Lepisosteus oculatus: one gene and its partners. The protein of the gene in region 1 interacts with the protein of each later gene in a pairwise test. Links are inferred from orthologs where the notes say so. Each region holds a gene or a part of one and is shown in the gene's direction. Other genes may lie near its edges.

Region 1 (8,015 bases):
AATAAATACAACTTGTTTCTTTTAAAAAAATAAATACAATCACTAAGTGCTTCTCACCTTTAAGCGCTTTTTGTCTCACGTATAGAAAAATATACATATTATTTACATTTAAAAAGAGAAAACATGAATTGCGTAACAAAAATATTAATATCAGTCAAGAGAACGAGAGAGAGAGAGACCTGAATGGGTCAGTCTATGGATATGTCTAAAAGATAATTGAAAATATTTGTTCTATACAGTGAGGCATAGTTTACAGGCTTCAGATTTTTAATTATCATCACGCAATTTTGTGATGCATTCAACAAAACCGCTTGTCTCACCTGTGCCCCCATGTCCTGTATTTCTTTGCAGGACTCTGGGAAAATGTCCGAAGCGATGACCGGATAGCCGTGTTTCAGAAGGTTTTTTGCCATGGGATCCCCCATATTCCCCAGCCCAATGAAACCAACTGGGGTTTTAGAGGCCAGGGCCCTCGATGACACTAAAACAGACAGACAAAAGCAGAAGGTGATTCTTCTGAGGGATGGAAGGTAGATCAGAGCTCTGACACTGGCTTGGCCCTTCAGGGAAGGATCCTCTCAAAATGAAACTAGGAGCTGGTGGAGTCTGGAGTTGATATCTTGGTTTCTTTCCAGAAACGCTGGATGATGTTCAGCTGAACAGCCTTTCCCCCAGTTTGTGACTTCTCTCATGTTCTTACCTCATAACTATATATATAATATAATCCACTGCTTAATGCAATATAGTGTTCTGCTCATAGTATTCAGGATTGACATACTGTAAGAGTATGAAATTACAGAGAAGTCTGAGCCAAATGTCATTATAAATATAGTGTAGTCATGTGGAGAGGCAGTCCAGTTACCCTGCCTGGGAGAGTTCCAGCACTCTGCGTCAGCTGGGACGTTACACTGTACTTAACAGAAAATAATGGTCTACAAACCAGCTTATGTACAAAGACTTGAAAAGCTTCAATTTGTCTAACTCAAAACTTGTATAACTAAAATCTGTCTGGAGTTGCATTTTAATATTATGTCGATGAATAATATAATCGCACAAAATCCCACTGGCTCTTCTTTACAGTTCTGAGTGGAAGACTAGTGCACAACGAACAACTTATTTGATACCAACATAATTAATTCCACAGTACCTTATAGCATTATTAAAAAGCACTGAAATAAAGACATAAAATGACATGCATTTTGACTTCAAATTACACTTAAACTATAGGCCTGCAGAGAATGTAGAGCTGATACCCCCCAAGACTCTTTAGGACCTGTCTGAAATAAACATCTTTCACCTTTCTGTCTCAGTCTAAGGCTCATACTCGGCCATTCTTAACTTGTGAGGGCTGTCTCCAAGTCAAAAGAGCATTTCTAATGTCACCATCAACTGCTTACTCAGGGAGAAATACCCCTGGCCCTCATGCTATTTTTAAACCATTTGAAGCACACAGGAGCTTGCATAAAGACTTGAATGTATTCTTCATAAAAGCATATTATTGGGACTCACTCCTTTTTAAACATGAATGGTGTTGATGGAATTAGAAAAGGAAATGTTTCTTCACACGGACGGGGGAGGGGAGGACAGAACAGACTTTCTGCTCAGGTGATTCAGAAACCCTGCTCTCCTTCAAGAAGCAAGTGAACAAATTCTAGACTCTCTGAACTGGCAAGAAGGGCTGTCTTGTATTTGCAGCCTGTTGTGCATATTGACCTAACCTTGAACATCTGATACGCAAGCCAGCTGCTGACACTCCTTGTACTTATAACAGGTCCCAACATCACTTGCTGCCTTTTTTCTAGAAACCCCAGCAGAAATGCAGATGGCACATAGCCATGACATCATCATAGGCTTGGTATGTAAAGGAATGTCCTTTTGCTGAGCACCATGGCAAAGTATTCATGCTTTTCCCTAACATACTGTGCATGTATACATGCTTTATTCCTTCCACATCATAAAGCAGTCTAAATTGATCTCAATCTAAAACTATTCTTGATGCAAATACTTTTTCAAATAAGATCTCTAATCTTAAAATGTACTGTAGGAAGTGATTTATATACAGCACTAACATGTTTGTTTGCACAGTAATTAACTCTTTAAAAACAGAATCATCCTAGTGATACAAATTACAGAGCTGAGAATAATATTTATCTTAGTTACATGTGCAATTACAGCAAATATAACACTAAAACAGGATATTTTAAACAATGAATCAAACACTTTGATTCCAACTTTTTCTTTAGGTGTTAACTTTGGCTTGTGAAGTTGTAAGCTTGTCTTTAGAGTAAAACATTTTCCTAGTGACAGGGAGTTTTGTAAAAACAGGATTCTAAAATGTACAGAAAATCCCATATCTTCCAAGACAGAGCAAACTGGTAGTGGGGGAAAAAAACATCCTGTAACATTCAGAGATAAACCCATACCTGCTTTTAACAGGTGCTTTCCAAAACTATAACAAAATACACTTAAAATGTTTTAATTTAAATTTACCTCAAGCCTGCGAAAGCATCTTCACTAAAGGACCAAGGACCTTTAGTTAAGGACTAAAGGACCAAGGCAAAAGTATTTTTGCTGTATGCTTCCCTTGCGAGAGTATTTGGCTCTGAATAGCATGCCAGCATCGATCCCGCTTATCGATACTACTACTGACATCCGCATCAGCGATTGCCAAGCGATACCGGACAGAAACAGATGTTACTATCTATATCATTAAGCTTAAAGGTGCTGCAATGCATAAGCTACAGATCCCACCCCTCCCCCGACCCACAATAGCCTCGGAGAAGGACGAAAATTGAATATATGCAAACGTAAACAATACGTTACCCAGTGCCAGGCCCACATGCTGACCAAAGCTTCGCAACAAGTTCCGAGACCCTCTAACCAAAGCGGCCATGTTTCCTTCCCCTTGACCTCAGCGTCGCGGTGTCAACGCTCGAGTCAGGAAGTGACCACGGGGGTGGATGAGAGTGACACCGCCTTCAGCCCAATCAGAGGCAGGGTTGCCCACTATAGCCAACCAGAACCCGGGAGGGGCGGGATATCCTATAGCTTATCTTTGGAGCCGTGCGTCTTTGCGGGAGTTGCATGTCTGTAGAGTTTACACATTCAGGTTCGAAGCCAATTTAGAAAAGACAATTAGATGGATTCAAAGAGAAGCGGTTTAATAAATAATACCAAAATTCCACCAATATTAAATTAATTTACGAGGTTACCTTTCAGAGAGGTCTTACTTGGACTGTAAAGTTGTTGTGTCCTGTCTCTGGCTGGTACAGCGATTTACACCAATTTTTTTTATATCTGTTTTTTTTTTTGCAGGCAGAATACGGAGTTCTTGTATTATTGGGGTTGCATGGCATTGAAGAAACCCAGCAACAGGATATTATTATCAGGGACTTGCAGGATACAAGTACAATAGCCAGCAGCCATATCACCCTGCAGCTCACAACTAGCAACCCACTGAAACTAAGCAGGTGTGAACCTGGTCAGTACCTGGATGGGAGACCTCCTGGGAAAAACTAAGGTTGCTGTTGGAAGAGGTGTTAGTGGGGCCAGCTGGGAGTGCTCACCCTGTGGTCCATGTGGGTCCTAATGCCCCAATATAGTGATGGGGACACTATACTGTAAACAGGTGCCGTCCTTCTGATGAGATGTAAAATTGAGGTCCTGACTCTCTGTGGTCATTAAAAATCCCAGGGCGTTTCTCAAAAAGAGTAGGGGTGTAACCCTGGCGTCCTGGCCAAATTTCCCATTGGCCCTTACCCCTTACCCATTGGCCCTAATAATCCCCATCTATGAACTGGCTTCATTACTCTGCTCTCCTCCCCACTGAAAGCTGATGTGGGTGAGTGTTCTGGTGCACTATGGCTGCTGTTGCTGTCGTGGGAAGGGGAGTCCCCATTACCTGTAAAGTGCTTTGAGTGGAGTGTCCAGAAGAAGCACTATATAAGTGTATTATTATTATAATATCATCTCAGATAAATGAGATCTCAGTACATCTCATCTCAGTCCATACCATCCCAGATACAATTTCCAGTATGTTGCAGAACTGGTCTAATTCAGTTTATTGCACATTGCTCCAAAGCTAAATTGGTTAGACCAGGTACTCTTCTTCACTCACCTGTCACTCATGGCCATCATAATGAAGTGTGGGTATGATGCCTGACGCTGCCTTTATTCCTTATTCATCATCCTCTGAAGGTCAAGGTGACATTAGACCAGTAGTGCTTTATACTTAAGTATGAGTCCAGATTTAGCACAGGACATGTGGACAGTGTCTTTTGTTGTTAACTAATAAAGAGCAAATGAATGGTTTTGTCTATGTGCAATGAAAACAGTTTTTGTAAAACAGCTTTATTAAAATGTTTCTGTAAGTCTCCATGCCACCACAGTTATTGAGTGATGTGATGATGGCATGAAATTGTTTTTATAGGATTTTAAAATACAGTTTCTATTGAGTTTTTTTTAAGATTGTGATTAGACATTTGCTGTACTGCAGAGATATTCTTTCTCCGTAGTCTGGGTAGGATTGTCAAAACCTATGTTTTTACGTGGATATTTTGGAAGATTTGAGGAAATATAGAGGTAAATTGAAGGATTCATTATCTGGGATTCAGGATGATGAGAGAAACCCAGGATCTGTTTCTCACAGCAGGACAGAATAAATCCTTAGCTTTAAATTTCTTTAAATTTAAAGTTTTTAGAGTGGTGGGAGTGTGGAACGTGCTACCCACCCGTGTTGCTGAAGACGGTGCCAGGCGAAGTCTTTGGATCAAACAAGTTTTTGCAAATAAGGGGGTTGGAGGGTGAATGACCTCCTCTCATTTGTCACCTCTCTTATGTGCTTTTGAAATAAAGGCACAGATGCACAGTCAATAACTTTACGCCTGCGCAGTGGGCAAGGGCACCGATCCCGGAAGTGACGCATCGCCCCTCTTCCAGGAAGAAGGGCAGCGGCGACCGTAGAGCTGCGTCAGTGACGGTTTACCAAGGTAACTGGGGTTTTACTTCGATTTCACATGGCGAACGGTTGTTGTGTGGTTATTCGTTAATGTAGTTGTGTTCTGTAACGATTATTAGTGTTAGTCCTTTTACGTGGCAATGTAAAAATTGTGTGGGATTTGGGTTACGTTATCATTCCCAGTCCAGCAGTGACGAACCACAGGCTTAGCCGTGTTTAAATAACAAGCAGAAGGGGAAGAAATTGAAGACAAACGTTTTGGAGCTCAAACTTTGATTGTAGTTCTGCTTGGGTTGCGAAGGGATTTTAATGTTGAAAGTCAGTATTAATGTTTCAACTATCGGACTATGGACTATGGATTCGGCCGTAAGGCCCTTAGGAACATGAAATAAACTTTTTATTTCTGCCCACCACTTGTATTGAAAAAGAAACTAAAGTCGGTTGTTGTCTGTCCTTGGACCGTTTGGTTTCGATATTTGTTTTGACCTTTGAGTTTAATTTTGTTTTGTTTACATCCATCGATAAGCGATCCGAGCATGCTGGCGTGTCAGTTAACAAGCTTTTTTCAGGAGGAGACTGGACTCCTAGATTAGTGAGATGTTTAATATCTCTTCAGGGTGCGTTGCTTTAACAGCCTCGGTCGCTGTGGGACCCTGCTGTTGTTGATGTTCGGTAGTAACGAAAAGTACGAAACCCCAACAACTCGAATAACGAGTTAATAATAATAATTATTATTAACTCGTGAGCGTCTGCGGGTCGTGACGACGCTGTGTTGGCGGCTGCACTGGCCAATCGCAGGCCAGAGCCTTCAGTGGTGTTTACCTAACGGGAATGTCAACAGTGGCCCCGGACCAATAGGGGGGTCCGGGGGGCGGGTCCGTCGAGTCTGAGCGAGTCAGGCTGGTGTTGCTCATGAGCGTCTGGGAAATTCTGTTGGTGATGAACTGTCATGATCTGCACGACTGGGGAATTTCGGCAGCTCTGTCGGCGAAGGTTACACAAAACCTTTGAAACCCACCTCACCCCCCCAATCTCTCGTTTCTGTCTGCGTGCCATTGTACTGTAAAATGAACGTGGTTTAATAGTGGACGTTGTGAACGATGATGCTTTTCAACTGATCTTTCGTTTTGAATCGCACCTTAAGCGTTAAAGCCTTTCATGCACATAAAAAAACCAAACGGTTATTTTAGTAGTTACTAAAAGTCTTTACGTAGGCAAAGATGTTTTATGTAGGCATTTTTATTTTTTGTAATTGGTTTCTGATGTTCCCAGCACTGACGTCTCGGCACTTAATGACTTGTCAGACGGATTCATATTTGTGATTGTTCACCTTTGCCCGGTGCTGGTAGGATTCCTGGGAAAACAGCTGATCTAGTCCTTTACGGTTTCTGGCTGAGTTGTTTTAAATTGATCCTGGATGGAAATTGTGCTGTTTAATCGGGCCCTACTTGTGCCAACGTGGCCAATGACAACCGAGTTGTTGCCAGTCCCAGCTAGGAGCCTGTCGACTCTGAACGATCTCATCTCCAAGCACACCACAAACTGTTGTGTCATGGTCTGTGTTGGAAATCTGAGTTGCAGTGTAGCAGATAGGGGAGTCTTCAAAACCACCACTTCTCTTTATGGGTTCTTTGAATTCATTTTATAATCACTCTGTTTTGCGAAGTACAGTCCATGGAATGATACTGGTGTACGATAGGTTCTGCAGTTGTGTGATATGATAGTGTGATGAGTTGTCACGTGATTAAACATTGAGGACAGCTCTGTGCTTTATCCTAATTGAGGAAGTGAGACCTTGCTGGATGAATGTGACTGCAGGTTGCAGAATGAGTAAATTTCTTAAATGACATGATTCTCATTTGGTACAATGCAAGGCTTACCTTTTATGAGTTTGTATATCAATTCTGTTATTAATTTTAGGGTACAATTAGACAGTGAAGGATTCTGCTCTGATATCTAATATCTGTGAGCTCTTTTTACAAAATAGATCATGAAAGCTTTGTGTTAGATGGGGATGTTTTTCATGGAATGCTAAACTGTTAATTGCTTGGAGATGACAAAGTAGATTCTTTGGGAAATGAGTTCTGTAGTTCTACATGGGTAAAGTACACCTAGTTTACAAAAATGAAACTCATGCGACTGGCCTCTAGAGATAAGTACTAACCAATGAAGAACATCAGGAGAGAGTCAGATTTCTGTTCTGAGCTGCTTTGTAACTAGACAACATAACTGCACGCAGGACTCTGCTTTGATGACAAAGATAAACTGTCATCAAATTGCACTAGATCAGAACACACATAACCTTCAGGATCGAGGTCACACAGATGTCTTCCTTTGAAAATCTAGTCAGCCCTTTTAAAAAGCAAGATTAAAAAAAAGTTCTTTGCTCATGAAATCTCTCATGAAAGACCATTCACATGGACATTTAACAGCGGTGACAGGACTTGATTCCATCAAATTGATTCTGACTGAATTAGGTGTGATCATGAAACTGATTTAGCTTACTATGTAAGGAGGTCTTTTAACTCTCATCTAAAGAAAGAAAGTCTGAGAATAAAAAGGCTCTTCCTGCATATCCAGTCTTTCCTTTTGACATGGAACAGTTCCTTTATGTCACTGAACTGTACAGCTAATTAGCAGAGATCTGCACGGCTGTATTGTACTTGCCATCTGTTTCTCATACCATTAGTATCTGAGGTATCTGAAAAAATATAAAATATCCTTATTTTTTTTGGTAAGAATTAAATGGAGGTTGTGAATATTCAGAGCCTTGAGTACAATGGTAACAGGTGAAAGAATACTAGTAACTAGTAGCAAAGATGGTGAAGTAATTTCCACTGCTTCCCATTTGCTGGACTGTGCTGTGTGTCCACACCCCTCCTGTGTGCGTTAACAGGATCTGAAGGATGAGAGCCGAACACAGGAGCCCTTCCTCGTGGGTTCGACACAGCAGCCGACAGGTTTTAAGACTCATCCTGGAGTTGGAACAGAACTTTTTACTAGATGGGAAACTAGTATAACTTAAGCTGGACTGGAACTCGAACTTCAAGTAATGAAG
Region 2 (7,324 bases), on another chromosome or scaffold:
CTTAAACTTGTGCTTGAGTGGGGGGGAAACTTGCATTCCGCAAAGAGGGTGTGACCTACAGTTGCAGGCAGCAGTGGTGCAGTTCTCCGTCTCTGATGGTATCCACCAACTTAGTCCCATGTGGAACTGCTTAGTTCACCACGAGTATACGGACCCCTTTCCTGGCAAGTGGTGTAGGAATGTGATCAGTCTTCTGCAGCTGTGTCGTTCGAAGGCCGTCGAGAGGTGTCTAATCGCCTGTACTTTTGCCAGGTGGACCTCTCCAAAGACCTCAAGCACTGGGAGTCCCTGAAGGACGAAGAGCGGTACTTCATCTCCCACGTCCTGGCTTTCTTCGCCGCTAGCGACGGCATCGTTAACGAGAATCTGGTAGGATCCACAACCGCACCCTGCTCTAGATGTTTTGTTTCACAGTTGGCATTTTTCATATCGGCAGGAAATGTCTGTAAGTGCGTGCAGACCCCAGACCAGATCCTCCTGTTTCATTCAACTCTTTCTCCCCCCTCCAGGTGGAATGCTTTAGCCAGGAGGTTCAAGTGACTGAAGCCCGTTGTTTCTATGGCTTCCAAATCGCCATGGAGAACATCCACTCTGAAATGTACAGCCTGCTCATCGACACGTATATTAAAGACCCCAAAGAGAGGTCAGTACAGCTCTTGCCTCTCCTCTGGTACAACCTGCAGTTGTACACCCAAGCCAGAGTTATTGGGCTGCAGTTCCTGCTGATGCTGACCCATTAAACAGGCCACACAAGCCCCAGTTAGTAGTTAATTGATCCCAGGGTAGCTTGTTTTATACTCCACTTAATGACCAAAGTTGTGCACTGTTATCAGTGACACTCCAAGCACTTCTTGCTTTCAGTTGCTCCCCATGTTGACCTAGAAGATGTAGGTCAAAATGTGCTTTTGCCAACTGGTCTTGTATTGAAGGTTTTGTTCTTTTTGCAGGGAGTTCCTTTTCAACGCCATTGAGACTCTGCCCTGTGTGAAAAAGAAGGCTGATTGGGCTCTGAACTGGATTGGAAACAAAGATGCTGTATATGGTATGCAAGGTTTATTGGGAGACGTGCCTGTTCTAGCACAATGATCTGCCTTAAACTGTCACTTTTCACACCTGTCCAATCTCATTGTTTTTTTTTTTTTCCCTGTACAGGGGAGCGTGTTGTGGCCTTTGCTGCAGTAGAAGGTATCTTTTTCTCTGGGTCATTTGCTTCCATATTCTGGCTGAAGAAGAGAGGCCTGATGCCAGGCCTCACCTTCTCAAACGAGTTAATTAGCAGAGATGAGGTGAGTTTTTTCTTCCGAGAGCCTGTTTATTCCCCCCCAAATCCACAACCATAATCTATATGCGTATTCCTAGTCTATAGTGACATTAGCATGCTTATATAGGTCTCTCTGTTCCTTCGGCTTTGCTCCTTTGCTTCTGGATTATGCATAGTTATTCCGACCTGTGAGCTGTCGGTTAGATGCCTTTCTCAACAGTGGTGCTCTGCCTAATTCAACCTGCAAGTTTCTTTTTAGGATTCCAGACACCTGCTGTACAATAGCACACAAATTGTACTCCATCCAATGCTAGCAAATGAATCATGCAGTCTTGGTTTTTTTTTCTCTCCTAGGGCCTTCATTGTGACTTTGCCTGCCTCATGTTCAAGCACTTGGTACACAAACCCTCCGAAGAGAGAGTCCGTGAAATCATTGAAAATGCCGTCCAGATAGAACAGGTGTGTTCCCTTCCGTTAACCCGGGCTGGGATGTTATTTTGTTCTGTTGGCTGATCCCATGTGTTTTTTTTTTTTTATTGTATAGGAGTTCCTCACTCGAGCTTTGCCGGTGGACTTGATCGGCATGAACTGCACTTTGATGAAGCGGTACATTGAGTTTGTGGCGGACAGGCTGATGCTGGAGCTGGGTTTCAGCAAGGTAATTCCTTCCACTTGTCTAGTGCTTTACTGGTCATTTTCCGTTGCGAGTTGCAGGGTGGTATGGCTGCTGACAGCACTCCTTGACTATGAGGAGCTGTCTGAAAGCTGCCCTTAACAGGTTTTGGCACTTATTTTGTAAATGGCAATTTGTGTCATGATGTAAAAGTCTGTTTTAACCCATTTTACAAATCTGGGTAAAAATTTACTATTTGTTTGCCAGTGTTTACTGCAGTGCTCAGTTTAGCTTACTAAACTTTAAAGCTCGAGTTTATAGCCTTATGCTGCTCTTCAGTGAAGTGCAACTGTCTCCACAGATCTACAGGTCTGAGAATCCTTTTGACTTCATGGAAAACATCTCCCTGGAAGGAAAGACCAACTTCTTCGAGAAGCGCGTAGGGGAGTACCAGAGGATGGGCGTCATGTCTGCGCCGACGGACAACACGTTCAGGCTGGATGCCGACTTTTGATGCGGACGAGCGCGATGGGTGATGGGACTGTATGCATTAGCGCATCCACAGAGACGGGACCGATGCCCAGAGACGCCTCTGTTCCCGTATCGCTTGTGTGTTGCCGTGAAATAGGCCACTAAAGCAGACCGTTTTGCACAACCTCCCTGGAAACGTGTCAAAGGGATTCAATTGTACAGTTTTTAATGTTTTATGTAAATGGTTATAGTTTTATATTGGCTTTATAATAAAGGCTGTTTAGAAATTCCTTCTGGGTTTAAGGATCTGTGTCAAGCCTATGCTCCTTCCTCAAGGATACAGAGGAGGTTCTGTACCTGACTTTACTACACTGTGGTTATAGTAAGAACCTTTCAGTTTAACAGGACATGGGTATTGGGAGGGCTAGTACACACCAGTTAGTACAATGCAGTGATGTTTTGTAAAACGTCTTGCAGATGGGAGTATCGGCTCCACTTCTTCCAGTGGAGCTGATGGCAGAGCACCCTTCCAAGTCTGTAGTAATAGTCCTGCCACTCAAGGCTCCCAGCACTCCCTCCTTCTAAACAGTCTCCGTTTTCTCCACTTGTACCGTCTTGCCTGGTCTCTTGCCTACAGGAGGTTCCCAGTAAGAACACTCAATGCTGCTTTTTTATTTAGGCGGTTTACTGCAGCCTTCTGATCCACTGTGGTCTCGGATCTATGCTTACCACTTTGTGCTCTCAAACGTGGCAAAACAGGTGTAACATCCTGCACTGCTTCAGACTTTACAAGTTGTATGATGACTAAATCTTAATCTGTCCTTCGCCTCAACCCAAGAGCTTTTGCGCTAAGAACTTGAGAGTTTAAAAGCAAGTATATTTTAGCCTCTGGGTCCGTGGAGTGTGGTTTTTGCAAATCTAATCCATGAAGGAATATCCAGTTGCAGAGCAGTGATTGTGTTCCACTGCTGTGATACTAGAAGTGTAATTGGTTATGGTAGTACAAATCATGAAAGTTGTTTAATGTAATTCTGGGTTTAGCTGTAGTCCCTGATTTGGGGACTTAAAGTACTTGGGTGCTGGAACCCCTTGAGTAAGCAGGGAGCTGTCTGAGGGTGGGATATAAGTCAGCTGAATAGAGGGAGAAAGAATGCTGTTGCACTGCCAAGGAGATGAGCAAACCCAGGGTAAGGCTCATGGTTGGCCCACACACGAAGGTTTTCTCCACCCAATTAAGAATAATCAATTAAATTCGGCCGGGCTCGTGGTTTAGCATTTCAGGGGTGTTTTTTTTTTTTTTCACAGATGTGATTAAAACTTAGGAATGTTAAGCGGAAAGTCGGAATGAGATCTTGAAAAGGCCACAGTTCTAGCCCACGATGTATGGTATGAGGAAGCACATTCAACCAAGCTTGAACCTCTACAGTAAAACAACTTTGTGGGTGTTACTTCCTGAACAGTAACTGTCGGGATGGTTCCTGACCTGATGGGCTGGGACGTGAAGCAGTTATGAAGGAAAGATGAGTCTAGCAAAGACAGGGCTGGGACTGGCCTTTTGATATTTAAAATACGAACAATATAACCAGAAATTAGGGATCCAGGGAAGATTTAATAGTCAATTTCATCGATTTAAAATCAGTTTGCCGGATTAATCACCTAATTTTCAAGTACCGACATTCGTTTGAACATTTCTGTAGACATGTTTGGATTTGAGCAAACCAATAGCATTCCTATTGTTTGAAAGCATTTTGAGAAAAAGAAAAACACCTCACGTTTCCTTTCCAGACGGATGTGTTTTACCCACAATCTGATTATTCAAGTGCAAAGCCACATGGATCTAAAGCTCATTTTCGAACAGCACGATCACATGGTGACATCTTCCCAGCATCAACAACCTGCCAGGGAGGACCTTCAGCCACGATTGGCTGATAAAATTCACTCCGCCCTCCAGGTCTGCGAAAGAGGAAGTGAAAATAAGGCGGAATTAAAATTGCGTGCAATTTCGTGATATAAATCGCTGGACCAGGGCACGTATTCACTCAGGACAGGAGTCATGTCTGTTACGAGTCCCAGGCAAACGGTTTTAAATCCGGTAAGATCTCTTGCACCGCACTGCGGGTGTACTGCACAGCACCCAGTGCCTCACAGCTGCCCTGTGGTCGGTGACGCGCAAATGTCGCTCTGTTCTTTCGTTTTGGGACCGCCGGGTGTGCTGCACAATGTTATATATTTTAAAATAAAATTAAGAGAGATGCTTGGCGAGATCGTGTCGCGTCGGGCGCGCCGGCCTGCGTCACTCGAGCAGACCATGTTGTGCGGCATTGCTGTGGAGATGAGCTGAAAGAGACGATTATGGACCGAGAGATAAGAGTCAGACCGTGTTCTCCCCTACCCACTTCACTCCTCAGCAGAAAAAGAAGTGGAAAGTGAAATCTGTCTTGCTTCATGTATTAATGTTTGCTGGAAAGAAGTAAATTCTGTGTGCACCCCACACCGTATTGGGAGCCAGGTCATTAAATGAGGTGAAAATGCAGTAGATTTAGTAGTGTCGCTTCTCTAGATTTACCGTAACGCCTCTTTAAGTCGTCGGCTGGTTTATTTCCAGTTTGCTTTAATTGCATTGGCTAAGTCGTGGTTTGCAGTTTCGTTTCTGAGTTAACTTCTACTGCATTGATTTGAGAAACCGCGACCAGCTCATCTGCGCTCAGTCTGTATAGAGAAACTGCATTATTGCCTCTTTTAACATTCGGATTAAAATGGCCATTTTTCGTTGTACCTGCCACTCATGTCAGTGGTTTTGTAACAGTTTAATGTATTACAGACACTACAGCAATTATGGGGTTTAACGCATATTTATTTTCATTACAAAATGTTACTTTAAAAGGCTTTACTGATAACACACTGTATAACCGAATAATAAAACAATTCAAACAGTATAAAGCACATCAGACATAACTTATTATACATTAATTATCCAAATATTAATGAATTAATCAGATATGAATTAAATTACTCTTTTGAAAAGTAATCACGCGATGGGAGTTTCAGAAAGGTGAATTATAAAAGAATAGCTAAGATATTTCACCAGACATATCTTATTTGGCTCGATTTTAAGGTCGAAATAGAATTTATTCATGGGAATTGTCTTTCAAATTCGGGGCTGTATGAAATTAGCTTTCTGAGATAATGGATACACAAGAGGGTGTTCTGATTGGTAATGTAGCAACGCCTTTTGCGTTTAACAGTTCAGACCGGAGCAAGTCCATGCTGTCGGTGACAGTCACCTGAGTCCTAGAAAAGAAACTAGTTTCAAATTCCAAATGATCCCAAGGCAAAGGCGAGCTTCAAAATAACGTTATATACTCAATTTCATTGTCTTTAAAAAGAAAAACATGAGGACAACAAAGAAATGAATTCAGTGAAAATACATATCTCGGAGTCTGATACAATTGTATTTGACGTTGCAGAGCTTTGATGACCAGATGTGTATAGAACAGTTGATTCAACAGGGTGGAATTTTAATTTTTAATGTGAAATTCTTGAAACAGAAGTCAGGTGTCATCAGTGCCAAGTAAAAACCGAGTTTCACAGCACTCACAGAAAGAGCCCACAACAGACAAGAACCCTTTGAAAATATGTGCTGACATGATTTAATTATTGGTAACACGAATGTTTAAAATTGTAACCATTGGATGAAGTATTGTGGTATGAGCGTAAGATTGCGCATTCTGTGTCATTATAGGCAATTCCCTATGCTGGGACAATACTGGGGGGACTTCATCCTGGTGATATGGTACTTATCCAAGGAGCAGTTCTCAGTGATGCTGACAGGTAAGCATTTCTTTTGAGGAAATTTAGCAACTAGTTTGCTTACAGAAAGTCCACACTGCTCGCAATCCATGATTGTTGCCATGGAGACTTCTGAAACCCCTTGTTAGTATCAATCATGAGAAGCTGCTGGCAAATACAACCTTTTATCACCAGATAAGAATCTGAACTCAAAATTAATAGAGATGTTTTATTAGCTGAATGTTTGCTCTTTCTAAACTGAAAACAGAATTAGCTTGGGACAGAGACAAAGGTCACTTATGTGGACTGCTTTTGCAGCAGACTTCAAAGTAAGTATTAAAATTCACTAATTCTTAACATCTTTGTAGGACTGGCCTGAATAAAAAGGCAAATTTAGTTTTCTTACGGATTCTGGCAGTGAACTCTCAGTGATTCATTGGTCTCTGTCACTCAACAGAGAGCGCAGTTCAGCGAATGACACTCGAGTGGCAAAACCAGGCGTGTGCATACTAGTGGCACATGAGCTGTTCTCTATCATCCGTCACAGGTCTGGTGATGGAGTAACAAAATCGGAGTCAAACTTGACAGGACAAATATTTCTTAACAAAACAAAACACCATCTGTACGATATGCAACGTTACACAACATACACCAGTTCATCGATCTCATGTATTTAAAAGACCACGTGTTTCAAAGGCTAACGTCTTGTAGACCTGGAAACAGGGAATTCTAGCCCTGTAATCTGGAATCAATGCCTAAACGGACCAAAAAGAGGAGAACCCAGCATTGCCTGGAACTTCTCAGAAATAAATCTTCCCTTTTATGACCATGGATATGCAGAAGTGGGAATCATTTCCACAGTCATTTCAATGAATCGGAATCATTTCCTGTTCTAGAAATGCATCGCCCAACCGGGAGAGAACGTTTTTAGTCCGAGGATTCCACAATGCAGGAAATCAGAATTTCCCAAAATAACCGGACAGCAAGATCTCTAAAACAAAGTTCAGATAGCTTATCCAGAGCCTGGTCTCCAAGAGTCATCGTAACAAGGTCCTCTCACATGACACAAGCTTCGAGCGACAGGAGGGTGATGGTGTTGTTCCTGTGTTCCTTTGATCGTCTGTGTTTACCTTCCTCTTAGCTCACCTTCAGATAGGCAAACACTGCAAATGCTGAAACGATGTAGTGCA
Region 3 (8,007 bases), on another chromosome or scaffold:
CTCTCATAGACACCTGAAAGTCTCCGGGCTCGGACTTTCTGGGTAATGTCAGAGCGCAGTAAGAAAAAAACAAAACCCCACGTCTTTTACTGGATGAACTAGATTAATCACATGTGAGACGAGACAGTCGTAGCTCGGCTGGCGAACTAAAATGTCGACTCCGCACGGCGTGTTCAGAACACAGGAAAAGGTACAAATCAGAGGAGCCCAGTTTCCTAATTGATCTAAGGATCTCTTCCAGGTGTTTTGAAAACCACCGGGGCCTCGGCTTTAACGACACGGCTGGGGAGTTTGTTCCCAACTCCCACAACCCTGTGTGTAAAGACGTCCTTCCTGGCCTCGCTTTCAAGTGCTCTTCTGCGTGTTTGCGGTTGATCGGTCATTTTTTTTACAGTACTCGGAGCAGAACAAGACAGCAATTCCGAACTCTGTCCGGGGGATGCAAGACACCGGTCGACCCCAGCTGTTAATCAAACGCTGGACCTTGTTCTTGTTTTGTTTTTCTTTTGCTGAGGTAACGAATCGATGTTAATAATTACGCTTTGCTGATTTGTTCGGGAATAAAAATCACCAAAAACCCCGTGCAAAAAAATAAAGTCACATGGTTGGAAACGCGGTCTTAACCTTGACTAAAACACTCGTTCACCACAAACTGTAGCAGTGTGTCAGCGTGCGAACTGCTCGTGGGGCTGCAGACTGGGCTTCGCTCAGGGTATAAACTTCTCCCCAGCAGCGCTGTATCCTTCTGCCCCGGGCTCGTCCGTTAATACAAATCACAGATACTGTCCATCTGGCCCCTGCGAGTTACCCTGACTGTGCGGCGAATTCCATTTCCGCACGCCTCCGGACGAGCAAGCCACTGTCTCGGGCCTGAAGTGTCGAAAAGCAGGTCAGTGGGGGTATCCCCCTGAAAAACGGTCATGCACCGCTGGTCACTCCCGTGCCCCCGTATTCTGCCAGCCAGACACCCCGGAAAATCGGATCTGTTCCCGCATCAGAAAATATCCCCGCTGTGAAAGAACCGGTACACCTGACAAAGACGCGGTGTACGCCTCTACATGGGACAGTGTTGTGTGGCTTATAGACTTATAGACAGAACTGGGAATAACAGCTGTAGTTAAACAACAACAACAACAACAACAACAACAACTGTGACGCGGTCCGGTCCGGGTCCCGTCCCGAACGGACCCGTACAGCAGCAGGGCTTCTCGGCGGTGCCGTTGACGGGTCGCGACAGAGGCCTGTTCCGGTGAGGCCGGTGGAAAGAGAAACAACACGTCTAGACCTCGACTCGTTTTACACCGGTCCTGATTCACAGGGAGAGCAAAAACTCCACCACCGAGACCAGCAGATTCCTCGTCGCCTACAGAGACCGGCGGGTCACACCGCTGCTAATGTAGTACCGTTAAACACCGGTGAGTCTCGGCCTTCTGCGCACCCAGGACCAGCTCCCTGAGGTCCTCCTCATTTCAGGACCGCTGAGGTAACAAAAAACGAATCAGTGGTAACGATTTGACATTCATCGAAGGTAATATTTTGTCATTAATTAAAGGTCAGATTTGAATAACATACCACTGATATCCTTCATGGCCCCTCCGACTCTAAGGTCACCGTGCGCTCGGAACCAGGAATGGAGAGACGTGCCATTTCTACACGAAATGACGAAACATGACAGGATTTTCTCCAAACACCCCCCCCCCCCCGGCAAGGCCGAGCGCACTGCCCGGGTCACAAGCTGCGACGTTGGAGACTACAGGCCGCTGCTGTTCACTGAAGAGGGCACTAACCGAGCGAGGGGGGCGCAGGGAGGCTGTTGGCACCCGGTGTAGTCCAGCCGCGTCCCTCCGAAAGGCGCGGGTAACACCGGGTTCGAGGTCCGTGTCGAGAAAAATGTCCCTGAGAGCGACACCCGAGCACAACCCGCGGAGACCCACATTCCGGGTCCCGAACGGACCGGCGCTGACCCCCCTGTCTCCGGGCAGCGGGAACCCCGCCGGGGAATTGATGACTCATTCTAGACAGTTAAGTAAGAACTAGTTTTTTTTTTCTCCTGAGAAAATTAACCGATTTAAGTGGGAATCGGCGACTCCCCGCTGAAAAGCACAAACCGAGAATCCCAATTTGTCCCCCAGGAACGCGACTGACTCAACCCCACGAGTTTTGACCCAACAGAACAAGCGTTTGTGGAAATCATTTTCTATTTACTCGTGTGCCAGGGTAGTATCGGGTCCCCGGGCTGTTCCTCCGGTGGTTAAGGCTCTATGGAAGATTTTAATAAGAAACCATATTCCTCTACACACAGGGAAGCTGGCATTTTAACGTGTTGCAGCATTTTCAGTTACAGCCGACGCTTAGGGCGAACATGTACAGTAAGTACGCCCGGAGGAAATAATGTTTTTTATTTTATTTTTAGATTTTCTTGAAGTGTCAGTTCCAGGCATACTACGTTCACTTTAAAAACTCAAAACGTTAAGCTAAACGACATTTTAAGAAAACAAACAACATATATAGAGATTGTATAAGAATGTATGTCTTCAATACTATAGATTTAAGGTCTATTTGTTTATGACTCTTTTGCTGATGATCCTATGACAAAACGCCCAAAGATTGTGTATCTCAAAAGGGGCTATATAAAATACAATTATTTAGTATCAAGTTATGATGCACAATTTACCACAGTCAAGGCTGACAAATATGACAGCTAAAATCTCTGTAATGTGTTTAATCTGTCGCGCGTTAAATCCGTAAAACATCACGATCTTACCTTAGCGTAATTAGAGCCAGTCTTAGACCGTGGAAGCGTCTAACAGCGGAGGAGAAAACAGGACGAATTGTGTTTCTTGAAAAACGAAGATTAAGGAATCTGAGCGGTCAGTGCCACGTCCGGTGTCCGCGCGGTTAGGCGCCAGATGAAAACCGTCCGAACAGGTTAACTGTTGTGTCCACTCCAGGCGGCAACCAGAACTTTTTACAGAGCCCGTCCCTCTCTCACACACACACTTCCACACACACTATCGCTCACACACACACACACTCTCTCGCACACACACACACAGACACATTCTCCGACTCCTCTCCCTCTCTCGCTCGGCGCTCAGATTTCAGATTCAAATTTAAACTGCGGCTGATTTCTCACGATCCGCTTTAAAGCACTGCTGATTTCTGCACGACACACAGCAAGGACTGTAGTCCATCATTTCGGAAAAGACAGCTTTCTGTTTTGAATCTTCGAATTCTATTTATTCATCTTGGTGGCTACAGGGTTACAGTAAAAAAACTAACAGTGGAATAACCCAGTTCGTAGGAATTATATACAAGACTGTATCTTCACTGCGGACTCAATTTGGAACTTTATGTGGGTCACAATTCTTGAACTGACGTAAAGGTGTTGTATTTACCGCTTGTACTAAATGTTCAGTAACCTACACATCGCGTAATGTAACAATATTTATTATAAATAAATATTAGTATTATAAATAAATACTATACATTTACAATTTACAGTAATATGTTGAACAGTCCTGTTACAATAGGGGCTACAGTCCCAGTACAGTAGAACAGTCCAGTTACAATAGGAGCTACAGTCCCAGTACAGTAGAACAGTCCTGTTACAATAGGGGCTACAGTCCCAGTACAGTAGAACAGTCCAGTTACAATAGGAGCTACAGTCCCAGTACAGTAGAACAGTCCAGTTACAATAGGGGCTACAGTCCCAGTACAGTAGAACAGTCTGTTACAATAGGAGCTACAGTCCCAGTACAGTAGAACAGTCCAGTTACAATAGGAGCTACAGTCCCAGTACAGTAGAACAGTCCTGTTACAATAGGAGCTACAGTCCCAGTACAGTAGAACAGTCCTGTTACAATAGGGGCTACAGTCCCAGTACAGTGGAACAGTCCTGTTACAGTAGGATCTACAGTCCCAGTACAGTAGAACAGTCTGTTACAATAGGGGCTACAGTCCCAGTACAGTAGAACAGTCTGTTACAATAGGGGCTACAGTCCCAGTGCAGTAGAACAGTCCTGTTACAATAGGAGCTACAGTCCCAGTACAGTAGAACAGTCCTGTTACACTAGGGGCTACAGTCCCAGTACAGTAGAACAGTCCTGTTACAATAGGGGCTACAGTCCCAGTACAGTAGAACAGTCCAGTTACAATAGGGGCTACAGTCCCAGTACAGTAGAACAGTCCTGTTACAATAGGGGCTACAGTCCCAGTACAGTAGAACAGTTCTGTTACAATAGGGGCTACAGTCCCAGTACAGTAGAACAGTCCTGTTACAGTAGGGGCTACAGTCCCAGTGCAGTAGAACAGTCCTGTTACAATAGGAGCTACAGTCCCAGTACAGTAGAACAGTCCTGTTACAGTAGGGGCTACAGTCCCAGTACAGGAGAACAGTCCTGTCACGGTAACAGAACAGTAGAATGGTCATACCATACACAAGAATAGTACAAACTGTTAAATACTTTCAGATGGAACTCCAATATGAAAAGGCGTCTTTGTATAAGCACACAAACAAGCAAGAAAATAAATCTAGAGCTGAGAAGCAGATTTTTAGATTTGCGTTGCATACTGGGATCCTAATAAAAAGGAAGAATGCTTATGATAATTATTCACCTTCCTGTCCTTCTGCTCATTAATGTGCTTTAGTCTACTCTGCACGCAATTAGCGTTTATGTTATGTGGTCATGGCCGCCTGCCGGCTGTCCCAGGCCAGTGTCCAGTCCGACAGCTCGGCCGAGCGGAGGCGACCAGGTGGCGCAGCCTAGCGCTCCCGCAGGCTCTGGTATCATACACCCTCCGGCCACTAGAGGGCGGTGTTTACCGCTGCCCATTCTTCATATAGAAACATAGAAACATGTTCATTCGTCATAATAGAAATCATAAACCACAGTCTGTAAAAAAAAACACATTTTTTTCTCCCCTTAGGAGTATATTCTGTTGATATAAGAGACACCAACGGTTCTCCAAACGAGCAGTCTGGCAATACGTCTGTGTGGGGAGACGGGTGGTTTGAACCGGAAGCGGAAGTCAGGAGGCTGTCGGGACAGCCCGTTTTGTGTTTATTTTGAGTGAAAGGGGGGGATTTTTGCGACGATTATTATTTTTTTATTGGTTATTCTTTACCTGCTAATAGCCTTACTTCATCATTCTTACTCTTTATCCGAAGAAGGAAGAGGCGGCCGTGCGTGTTTCCTGCGATGGTGAGGTGGTTGAGCTTCATAGTTTGAAACGATTCGTTTCTCTGTAGTTACAGCTGTGAAAAACACGTTTCTTTTTCCGCTCTTAAAGCTAATCTTTTTTTTTTACGTAAAACGACCAGGTCGCCTTTCTTCGTTAAATGTTAAATTGGAAAGTTTCAACCCGTCTTGAAAGTAGATCACAGCATGACCGCAACCGGGGAGTCCTTTCCTCTTGAAAATCTGTATTATACGTTAGTGCCCGTGAACGCATCGCTCATAGATTTGCATTTGGTCTCTGTTTTGTTTCACATTTAGAAAAAAGGTCGTGCTTTCGGATCAGATATTGTGTTCGGTTACTGTTGGCTGCTGTGATAGGCCAGTTGGAACGGTAGCATAGCAGTTGGAAGCGATATTTAGCTGAGCGACCGAACTGTTCACATTTAAATAACTGACAGACATTAGAAACAAAGTAATGTTAGCGCTTGTTTCGTGTGCAGTCAGACAGGTGGTGTGATGCTGTAGCCCTGTAATTGTTCACCCGTCACAGAACCGCGAGCAAAGAGCGCTGGTAGGCTTTCTGCTTTAGGGGGCTCTGGTTTGCTCATGGCTGACCGTTTGCAAGAGCACTGGCAGCCCTCTCCCTCGGTCTCACGGCGGTGAGCGGCCAGGGGAGTCCAGCGCGGTCACCTGTCCTCCTCTCTCCCTGCAGGACAGCGAGGTGTCGGATCTGGACCAGGCCCCCGGGGCCGAGAGCAGCATGGAGGGCGACAATGGGGAGAACGGAGAGAACGCGCCGGTTTACTGCATCTGCCGCAAGCCCGACATCAACTGTTTCATGATGTGAGAGCCCGCCGCCGCCCGCAGCTTCCTGCCTGCGCCCCAGCTCGTGGCCTCTGGGCGTCACCGCCCGACACTCTTGTCACCCACACAGCCTCGACGCACCCCTCCGCCCCTCACGCTGCACAGCCTTGACACAGCCCTCTGCCCCTCACGCTGCACAGACTGGACACACCCCTCTGCCCCTCACGCTGCACAGACTGGACACACCCCTCCGCCCCTCACGCTGCACAGCCCTGACACAGCCCTCCGCCCCTCACGCTGCACAGCCTCGACGCACCCCTCCGCCACTCACGCTGCACAGCCTCGACGCACCCCTCCGCCACTCACGCTGCACAGCCTCGACGCACCCCTCCGCCCCTCACGCTGCACAGCCTCGACGCACCCCTCTGCCACTCACGCTGCACAGCCTAGACAAAGCCTCCCTTTTTATTTTTCAATATCTTAGGAAGTCTAGAAGAAACATAAACTTGCGAGTCAATTTGTGTTGTTGTTGTTGTTGTTGTTAGTTGTGCTTGCTGAGATTGAGAATTCAAAATGGGCTTTGTTGGCGAGGTGTGTTACAAGGGTATTGTCAAAAGTTTTGAACAGCTATGGAACAGTTTATAACAGAATATTGGCCATGTGCACAGTGTTAGAGTGCAGGTCTGTACAGAGGTTTCCTGTACGACACAGCTTGGTACTGTGCACTGTGTCAGGCAGGGGTCTCCAAGCCTGGTCCTGGAGAGCCCCAGTCAAGTAGTCTTTTAGGTCTTTAGACTTTGGTAACATTAATGTAATAATTAATCAGTTAACAATACTGTGGTCCGTGGAGACTGAGAGAAACGTGATTTGGTCCTATATTATCTCAAAATGTCCTGCTCTATTCATTACTGTGAAATTTTGACTAATCTTGAGAAATGGGTGACTTAGCGGTGACCTATAGAGTCTGCTGGCCTGGGTGACCAGGGTTCGTCACCTCTGGTGTAAGGGTTTGAGCTCACATTTTTGTTTCTGACTGTTGCACTGGTGTTTTCTTCTCTTTTCTTTCTCCTGTGCATCTGGATTGCGTGTCTGCGTGTCCGTCTGTGTGTGTGTGATGGCTCTGTGTGTGCACGTGTGTCCGTCTGTGTGCGTGTGATGGCCCTGTGCATGCACGTGTATCCATCTGTGTGTGCCATGCGTGTGTGTGCACGCGTGTCCATCTGTGTACTTGTGATGGCCCTGTGTGTGCACACGTGTCCGTCTGTGTGCGTGTGATGGCTCTGTGCTTGCACACGTGTCCATCTGTGTGCGTGTGATGGCCCTGTGTGTGCATGCGTGTCCATCTGTGTGTGCCATGCGTGATCTCCTCATCTGCAGCGGCTGCGACCGCTGTAACGAGTGGTTCCATGGCAACTGCATCAACGTGACGGAGAAGATGGCCAAGGCGATCCGGGAGTGGTACTGCGGGAAGTGCCGGGGTGAGGACCTGCCTCTCCTCTCTCTGGGGGACTCTCCCTCGGGGAGCAGCCTCGAGGCTCAGGCGTGTCGGAGACCCTTGTGTGTAGTTCAGGTTCCCTGTGTTGTGAAGTCATGGGAAGGGACACGGCTGTTTTATCCAGGCTACAGAAAGTAATTTAGAAATCCGGGGCTCCAGGCTGGATGATTTTTTTAAAACGTTTTGGTTGTGTGTTACTGATTGTTCAGAAGACACTGTGGGGAAACAGACCTGTCTCGTATTGCACAGCAGGTTGGTCCATTCCGGGTTTTGCTGTGAGCTGCAGGCCGATCTCAGTGTGCGAACCGCACAGCCGGTGCCGAAAGGTAGACGTACGTTAACGTCATGGCGTACGAGCTCGTTCTTTCTGAGGTCACGGGCTGGAAGTGCAGCTGTTGCTGTAGGTCCTGGTGAAACCTGGACTGGATCACGCTGCTGTCACTGGTCAGCTCTCTTCTGCCTGACTGCCTGAAAGGAGGGGTGTCGGTCAGTCAGTGTGACCCTGTCTCCCCTCCTCAGAGAAGGACT
Region 4 (7,690 bases), on another chromosome or scaffold:
AAAAAGAATTAATGTAAAACTGTGAAACTAGTATTCAGGAGATGAAAACAAAAAACACATATAAAAGATAATAAACAATAACAGTTTTAAAATGCTTAATAGCTGTTACACAGCAACATAAACCTGTATTTATTTTAAGCAGCTTGTATTTTTATATTTTACTGTTTTGAGTTTTTTTACAGAAATCATGAAGTCTTCTGACACATTTATGTTATTTAATTTTTTGGTTTCTACCCATAGAACTGCCCAGTATTAAAAGTAATATATCTTCCACACTTCCACTTACCATTTCTTTCCTGATATGAGCCAATGATGTTAGTCAGATCATAGGCACTTGCAAAGGGGCTGTTTCCATTGATAACAGAAACCTGCAAAAGAATAGGAAGCTGTATTTTTATAGTGTCATGCAAGGAAAATAAATACTATCACAGGAGGAGCAGGTGAGCATTACACACAGCAAAACAACTTACTGCTCCACCCCAGACCAGGAAAGGCTTTTTTCCAGTCCTTTCCTCCAGAGAGCACTGGATGTAGGCCATGCTTCTTTAGAGACAAAGTAACCCACTTGATTTAGAGCGTCCCAATTCTTTTTTCTTTTTAATGTGAAGTGTCATGGCTCTATTTCATGGCACCAATTACAAAAAAGTGATTCAAGACTGAAAACAGCGGGCATGTCTTTATGCAGAGTGCGGGAGGTGTCTGAAACAAGCTGCTCAGACCGTGCTGTGGAAGTCAGCTCCCTCGGATCCTTCAAAAAGCAACCAGATGGGAGTCTCAGGTCAATACATTTCTAGCAACTAGATGTTCATGACAAGCAGAACAGTCTCTGCTCGTGTGTAACATTGCTTTTATGTATAAAGAAATATGATTTTTTTGTTAAAGAGGAATCATAGAAAAAATGACAGAAGAAAAAAAGAGGTCTTCATTGGAGATCACAGCGCAGCCCCATACTGTCAAAATACTGTCAAAAGCAGTATGGGGAAAAATCTGTCAAACAAAATAGTTCTTCTATTGAACCAACCCTGATTTCATGCTGGACCAACTCTGTGTCCATGCTGATGTACCTGCCATCATCAGTGTAACCAGGACCCAAGGCGTTTGCCTGTGGGAATGCACCCTGTCAAACATATAATGTTTTAGAATGGTTTTACTTTTATAGAATAACATAGAACAAGTATTAGCCATCTGGAATGCAGACATTTCCCAGATTACGTAAAAAACAGCACACATGAGCTAATTCTTACATTATAGGTGGTGTCAAGACCTCTGTGCTTCAGTGGCTGCCTTTGCTGCAGTTTGAGGTCCCCACTGACAAAAAGTTGAGACCCTGGAACAGACGAGGAGTGCTGGATGTAGGCCATGCTCTGCATGATGAAGGTGGACATCCTCTAAAACACAAGCAGGCAATCTTTTACTCTAGTGGTTCATTTCAAGCAGGCTGCTAAACTGACATACACAGTGGCTGTACAGTGGGCTCAACAATTATTGGCACCCTTGAAAAAAAGACTAACATAGATAGCCATATAAAATAAACAGCACAGATAATGACCTGTATTTTATAAAACCCCCAAAACGGGAAAACTACAAGCTTTTTTTTCTAATACATTTATTTCAAAACAAATGTTTTTAAATGAGTAATACTATTTTTTTCCTCAAAAACATAGGTGTTAAAATGATTCGATCCCCAGTTGCTAGTTCTTGATGCAACGTACTCTGGCACGGGTAACAGCACAAAGCCTTTTCCTATAATGTTTAATAAGGCTGGAGACCGTTCTTCTTATGCAGGAAGTCTCCAGGTGCTGATGTCCTTGGATCGATTCTTACAGGCTTCCCTCTTCTGCCCCCAGTTTAGAAAAGACAAGACGAGACCTAAATAGCTGTTGAAAGAGTGAAAGCACCAGGTGTGGGTGACTTACGAAGAGCTTGTAGGAGAAGGTGAGAATGAGCTGAACGCTGTACACCGGCTCGCTCTGCCGCAGTGGGAGCGCCAGACGAAGGTTCAGCTGGTCAAACTTCCCATCCTGATTCCGGTCTTCCTCTCTGGCCTGACGACACCGGGGACAAGTTACCTCCCTGCCGAGCTAGGCTGCACCCCGGTCCACCCCTTGCGAGATTTGACAAAAACTCCCCCAACCAAAAATACCTGGTAAATTTCAGCAAAGAAAAGCTTGATTTTTTTTTTAGATTATAATGTACAAACACTGTAATTGCAACTTCGCTGTTTCCTGGGACAGGACTGTCCTCCTTCTGTCCGCTTTGAAGAGGCCAAATCCATAACCTCATTCAACACATGTTGAGCGAATGGCTTATTGATCAGTAATTTCCCTCAGTAGTGGAACTCCATCCATTCACAACTGTTCAACGAGATCACTCTAACACTCTTACTTTTCTAAGAATGTAAATATCTGACACTCTCGATCACACGCAGGCATTAGGAAATAACCTGAATAACTATGTTTTTAACTTTCACCAAGGCTATGAAGGATCAGAGGGGAGGATACTCACTGATATTGAAGGGATTCTGAGGTTGCCACCCTGCAGATTGTTGAAATTTTGAAATGTGCTCCAGGCTACATAGTCTCCACTGGTGCTGGTTGCAGCAATTAACAGCACCTGGTACTGGAACGTGATGCTGGGTTGCTCCTCATACGTGCTGGACTTTGTCCAGAAACCTGTAAATAAAATGAGAAATAAAGTCTCTTTCCGATCAGAAGATCTCCTAGAGATAAGGACGTTCTATAAATGCCACCAAAGTGGAACCGGGTACCAGATCATACACTAAAGTTGAAGAGACAAAATCGTTTTTTTCTTACAGTCATGATAAACTCTCAAGGACGAAAGATAGTTATAAAAAGAACTGCGTGCAAACCTCGCTTTGCATATCAGTCTACTTGTTGTACCGTGGCATTGAGTTCTTGGCATCTGTGTAACTAAGGTATTGAACAATACAATAGTCGCACGGTAAAACGGTATTCGCTACATAATAATGTTAGTTTCTAAAAAAGCACAAGATCATGTCACAAGATCAAGTGCCTTGGGACAACCTTGTTGTGAAAGGCGCTATATTAAAATGAATTGAATTGAACGTCCGTGTAGTACTGACAGGGCCACAATAGACATAGTCGAACCTACATCGCGGCTGTCTTTGAAAACAACACTACTGGAAGAGGCAGGCTGGACAGACAGTAACCATTCATCAAAACAACAGTCAAAACCTCAGCATAACGCTGTGCTTACCTTGGCTTCTGTAAGCCACCAGCAAAGGAGAGATGTAGGTGAGACACAGGACGATTATTAGGAAAAGCGTGGCTTTGGTGCAGATACTGGTCTTGTACCTCAGTAAAGCAGGGTGGGAGTAAACTTCATAAATGGCCATGGAAGATCGAAACGTGTTCGTAAAAAAGCAAAATAAAAAAGGGGTCGCCTTTGAAACTAGCTAAACTTTATTCCACAGACTTTCCGTTCGTTCGCCTTTAAATCACAGCGATGAGATGAGCGGGGTTGTTGCACTCGGAACATAAATAGTTTCTCGATTCAAGAAGGCTCCTTGATTTTTCTTAAATATCGAAATTCGCAAAAGCTCAAAAACTAGTAAGCAACCCCGCCCCCAAAGTATTAGCGTTCTGACTATTTCTAAAAAACGCAACAATACAGATCCCTTCCAAAATCGTGAAGCTGAAACCGAAGGCCGCACTCTTTTCACGCACTTCCTGAAGTTTGGCGTCTGCGGGTTTCCATAGCCCCCCTGTTCCCTAGCAACCGGCGGCGTTTTTTTCCCCCCACTACCCGGATGCAGCAAGAGAGGCTAGAAATATTCTACTGTATTTATCCTCACGGGCAAACCCAGCTGGAGTAATTTAAATACCAGACCTCCGTAGCCCATCCAAAATATTATCTTAATATTACGTTAACGCCACAGTTGTTCCGACTTTCTTCGCTTTATTTTGAAAGAACAACAGAATTTGACACCCGAATTCCTGTTGGTGTAAATGAATCAGGGGATTGGCATGTTAACGGTTACAGAAACGCTTGCAATTCCCCAGAGCGGTGCTCCCCTAAATACAAGAAATACGGGACCTTTGAGTATCACGCGATATTAGTCACAGCCCTATCGAGTTTTATGCCGTGCTCCTACCAGCCTGTAATCTATTTTTAGGGATATTTGTAGAGGCGATCTCGGGGGCTGTGGTTGTGTACATTAGCTCAGCTTTCAGGGAACCCAGAAGCCGACCTATGGGAGCTATCTTTTCTGAGCTAATTCTTGCCAGTCTATTCATATTTTGTGCCTTTAACGACATTTCCCTTACCGATATTAAAACAATCATTAGGAAAGCCCCCCAACTATCTACATCCCATCCCATATGAACCCCCCCAGTCCCACCAGAAGCATCAACGTTTATATACAGAAGCGATACTACACGGTAGTAGCATCTTTATGGATTGTACTATTTCGTCACTACAGGCAATATATGCAATCTCTGATGAATAAAACAATTTGGTTGTGTTCCACAGATTATATCAATTTGGGTAAAATATTATTCTGGTGAGTTTATCAATAATGATAAACTAAGTGTATCCCCATCATTTAAAACCGTTACCCCTCCGGGTTGCCAAATGGATCCATCCGGCGGTGACGTCATCGCAGGGCTGGACTCCGAAGGCTAACCTTGTTTTGTTACATTGTTGCTGTAATAGTTTACCCCCTTTTGTTTGTAAAGAAACCGAAAAAAAAACCCATAAACGAAACCGTTGTTCTCTTTTTCTTTTTCTAAGCAAAATAAGCGCCATTTGGAAGTTGCCAAAATGAAATGGATGTTTAAAGAAGACCATTCCCTAGGTAAGAGGTTTTGTAGTAGACGGGGGAAATGCTGTGTTATGGTGATGTTTGCTTTCGCTTTCTCAGGCCACTGTGAGGATGGCTTTGCCGTGTCAGGGCCTGGAAAAAGGGTGACCTGCGCAGAATGTTTTTTTTTCCCCTTTTACGGGTTTTAATTGTTTTTCGGATTACGTCATACGTGTCTGACAGCACATTTTCTTCATATCAGAACACATTCGGGTATTTGGGGATTTTCTCTGGGGTGGGGAGGAGCTGACCGTAATATCTGGGTGTTGTTTTCTTCTGCAAAGACTGTATTTTGACGACCACGGGACAGCACTCGTTTGTGTCGCTTTGCTAAGGACGTGACAACCGGCACATTTCGCCCATTCCAGCCTTTCAGACGAGAAACAACCAGAAGCTCGAAACTGTGGTTGATGTTGAGATATTTTCTGTCCCGTCAGTCTTCCTTAAATTCAAATCTAAAACCCGAAAGCAGCCAGGACGTTTCACATCTCATCAATACGGTACAAGACCCAGGTATTAATTTCTCGGTCTAACCAGACGCATACCATGAACTCTGCAGGGTAGTACTTTCTAGAGTAACAAACAGAAGTGTTTTAGAAATGACACTTCAGTTATTAACAGTATTGACTGTGGTCAGATAGATATGACTGCAGGCGTTGTTTTTTTTACAAAGCCCTGTCATTAACTAGGGCAAAGACTGCGGTCCCTTTCAACACACGAACCTGGGCCGAAATCTCTAAACGACCTTAGGGCTAAACTGGTTTTTGAGGCCTTCAGTGACGTCAAATTGTAATATTTATAACTAAGAATAATAGTTGTGTATATATATATATTTGTCGAACCTTTTCAAAGGGCTGTATCGCCCTCACAGTGTAGTCCACAGTGATGTCTGCATAAGAGGTTTGAAACGAGAGAGGCCATTTGCCTGATCTAGCTGGTTTGGAAACCAGTAGCAAATTGATCACGTGATCTCACCCAGCCCCTTCTTTAAAGAAGCCGAACATCGGGTACCTTGTCCCAGACCCCCGACAGCACATTGCGTTACTGGTTAATCATGGAATTGTTAAACGCAGCAAGAAAGGCAAACGGCTCTGTGCTGTGATCCATGAAGAGTGGCAGTTTTAGTAGGTTTGGCTATTATTTCAGCACCGACACTGTGAAGGTTTGAGCAAAATGATAGATTCCCCGTGTTAAGAAGGTTTAAAACGAGTTTAATAATTGCAAAGGCATTAATACCTTTGCAAAATTCTATTAAAAGTAAGAGTGTTTTCTTGTGGGGATAAACATTGCTAAGTGACACGATCTGATATGTGTAAAAGGGAAAACATTAACATTGACAGTAGTCTATATTTTTTTGTGTGCGGGTCAGGAGAGAGGCTAGTCTTTGTGTGTTTATCCACTGTGGTTCATTCGAGACATTCTCATTGCAGCAGAACAAAAAGTTCTTGTTTCAGATCAGCAAAAGCATAATCTGCTTGGATTAGTTTTCTTTCGGGCAGCTCAGAGATTAATCTGATGTCCACATTTTAGATCACTCTTTGTTCTAGAATATTTAATGCAGTCAATTCCTTCCTGTATGATCTATTAATGTCTTCTAAGTTCACAAAATGAAGAAGCTATTTTTTTTTATCAGATCCCTATGACTTGAAGTACTAGTTGCAACTAGTGGGTTACATTTTCAATTCAATTGCAATTAATAGTTGCCATTGTATTTATACTGACCTACAAGAAACACTTGAGTTCTGGTTGATTTATAGGTGGTCATAAGTGGTCCGCTGGCCTGGTTGTATAGTGACAATTGAAGCACTTCAAATGAAATCTGTATCTAATTGCAGAACATATCTTAAATGGTGTGAAGAATCCACTGCATGAATATGATTTGGGAAAATATCCCCTTTATATAGAGTTCATAAATAGGTCAATTTGAATTATTCCCAGCCCTGAATTCATGAAGGGCATTTAACAGAAGATGCCTAACTTTCACCAAAATAAATTTACATCGTGATAAAATGAAATATCAGTCATGTATTGTATCTTTCCGACACAGCACCTCATTCATGTGACTGTGATGATTATCTCTAGAAGAGCAGTAATTTAGTGCAAGTAAAAATATTCACAGTTGTGCAATGTGTCTTCATTTTTAGCTTGCTAAGTATTTTTATTTGCACATTCAACCATTTCTGTCTGGGCATATGTATCACACCAGAGAGTTATGTGGACTTGTATTTTGTTGGCATTACAGGGCTGCACGTTCAGTTAATTACAATTGGCAATTTGCACTCACAGTACTAGTGTACAAGTGTAAAAGGGTTATTAGGGTAAAAATCAATGCAGTGCTGCTTAGATCAATGAACAGCTCAATGCTGTCTGAGGTGGGTATTCATCACACAAACACGCAGGTATGCAAGTGGGTTTTAACTGCTTGCAATGCACAGGCTTTTATCAGTTTAATCAGATATCCATTTGCTACTGTACGGTAGGAACAAGTTAGAAATTAGCAACCGTTTTATCTACATTCCAGTTTGATTAAAAGTTCTGAGAGGATGTCTTCAGGTTTCCCTTAAACCCCTCATGTCATATTAGTCCACGTTTTTGTTTTTTTACAAATTAATCATTCTGCTGCATTTTGGCTCCATTAGAGGGAGTCTCTGAAAGGAAGCTTAAACATTATTATTGCTAAATTGGCTGCCAGCTTTATCCAAGGTGACTTAAACCTAACAATACAATTGCATTGATCACAGTGGAACAGCAGATACAAACTGCATAAGGGGAAGAAATCGGTTTTAAGTAGGGGGTCTAAGAGAAAGAGGATACTATGGAAATCTAATGTAACTTTAGTGAAATAGA

Evidence for each region.
Region 2: the proteins of tax1bp1b (region 1) and lgals8a interact in binary tests that used the Homo sapiens proteins (3 or more experiments, as listed by UniProt). The link is inferred for Lepisosteus oculatus from reciprocal best matches to the Homo sapiens genes TAX1BP1 and LGALS8.
Region 3: the proteins of tax1bp1b (region 1) and CXXC-type zinc finger protein 1 interact in binary tests that used the Homo sapiens proteins (3 or more experiments, as listed by UniProt). The two-hybrid records come from large-scale screens. The link is inferred for Lepisosteus oculatus from reciprocal best matches to the Homo sapiens genes TAX1BP1 and CXXC1.
Region 4: the proteins of tax1bp1b (region 1) and gabarapl2 interact in binary tests that used the Homo sapiens proteins (3 or more experiments, as listed by UniProt). The link is inferred for Lepisosteus oculatus from reciprocal best matches to the Homo sapiens genes TAX1BP1 and GABARAPL2.

What each region holds. Positions count from the first base shown.
Region 1 is NC_090705.1:398,440-406,454, reverse strand, and holds the start of tax1bp1b (tax1-binding protein 1 homolog B), read left to right. Parts: upstream 1-4,899; 5' UTR 4,900-4,988; intron 4,989-8,015. Other genes in the region: hibadhb (3-hydroxyisobutyrate dehydrogenase b), read right to left, coding at 321-481, 2,824-2,893.
Region 2 is NC_090697.1:11,728,248-11,735,571, reverse strand, and holds the start of lgals8a (galectin-8), read left to right. Parts: upstream 1-4,213; 5' UTR 4,214-4,398; coding exon 4,399-4,437; intron 4,438-6,087; coding exon 6,088-6,176; intron 6,177-7,324. Other genes in the region: rrm2 (ribonucleoside-diphosphate reductase subunit M2), read left to right, coding at 253-369, 510-643, 948-1,042, 1,153-1,286, 1,616-1,720, 1,806-1,919, 2,236-2,388.
Region 3 is NC_090697.1:75,676,868-75,684,874, forward strand, and holds the start of CXXC-type zinc finger protein 1, read left to right. Parts: upstream 1-4,992; 5' UTR 4,993-5,201; coding exon 5,202-5,204; intron 5,205-5,892; coding exon 5,893-6,023; intron 6,024-7,361; coding exon 7,362-7,462; intron 7,463-7,998; coding exon 7,999-8,007. UniProt on the Homo sapiens protein: Transcriptional activator that exhibits a unique DNA binding specificity for CpG unmethylated motifs with a preference for CpGG.
Region 4 is NC_090715.1:12,460,829-12,468,518, reverse strand, and holds the start of gabarapl2 (gamma-aminobutyric acid receptor-associated protein-like 2), read left to right. Parts: upstream 1-4,632; 5' UTR 4,633-4,803; coding exon 4,804-4,837; intron 4,838-7,690. Other genes in the region: carbohydrate sulfotransferase 5, read right to left, coding at 287-368, 1,245-1,388, 1,917-2,045, 2,506-2,672, 3,238-3,376. UniProt on the Homo sapiens protein: Ubiquitin-like modifier involved in intra-Golgi traffic. Modulates intra-Golgi transport through coupling between NSF activity and SNAREs activation. It first stimulates the ATPase activity of NSF which in turn stimulates the association with GOSR1.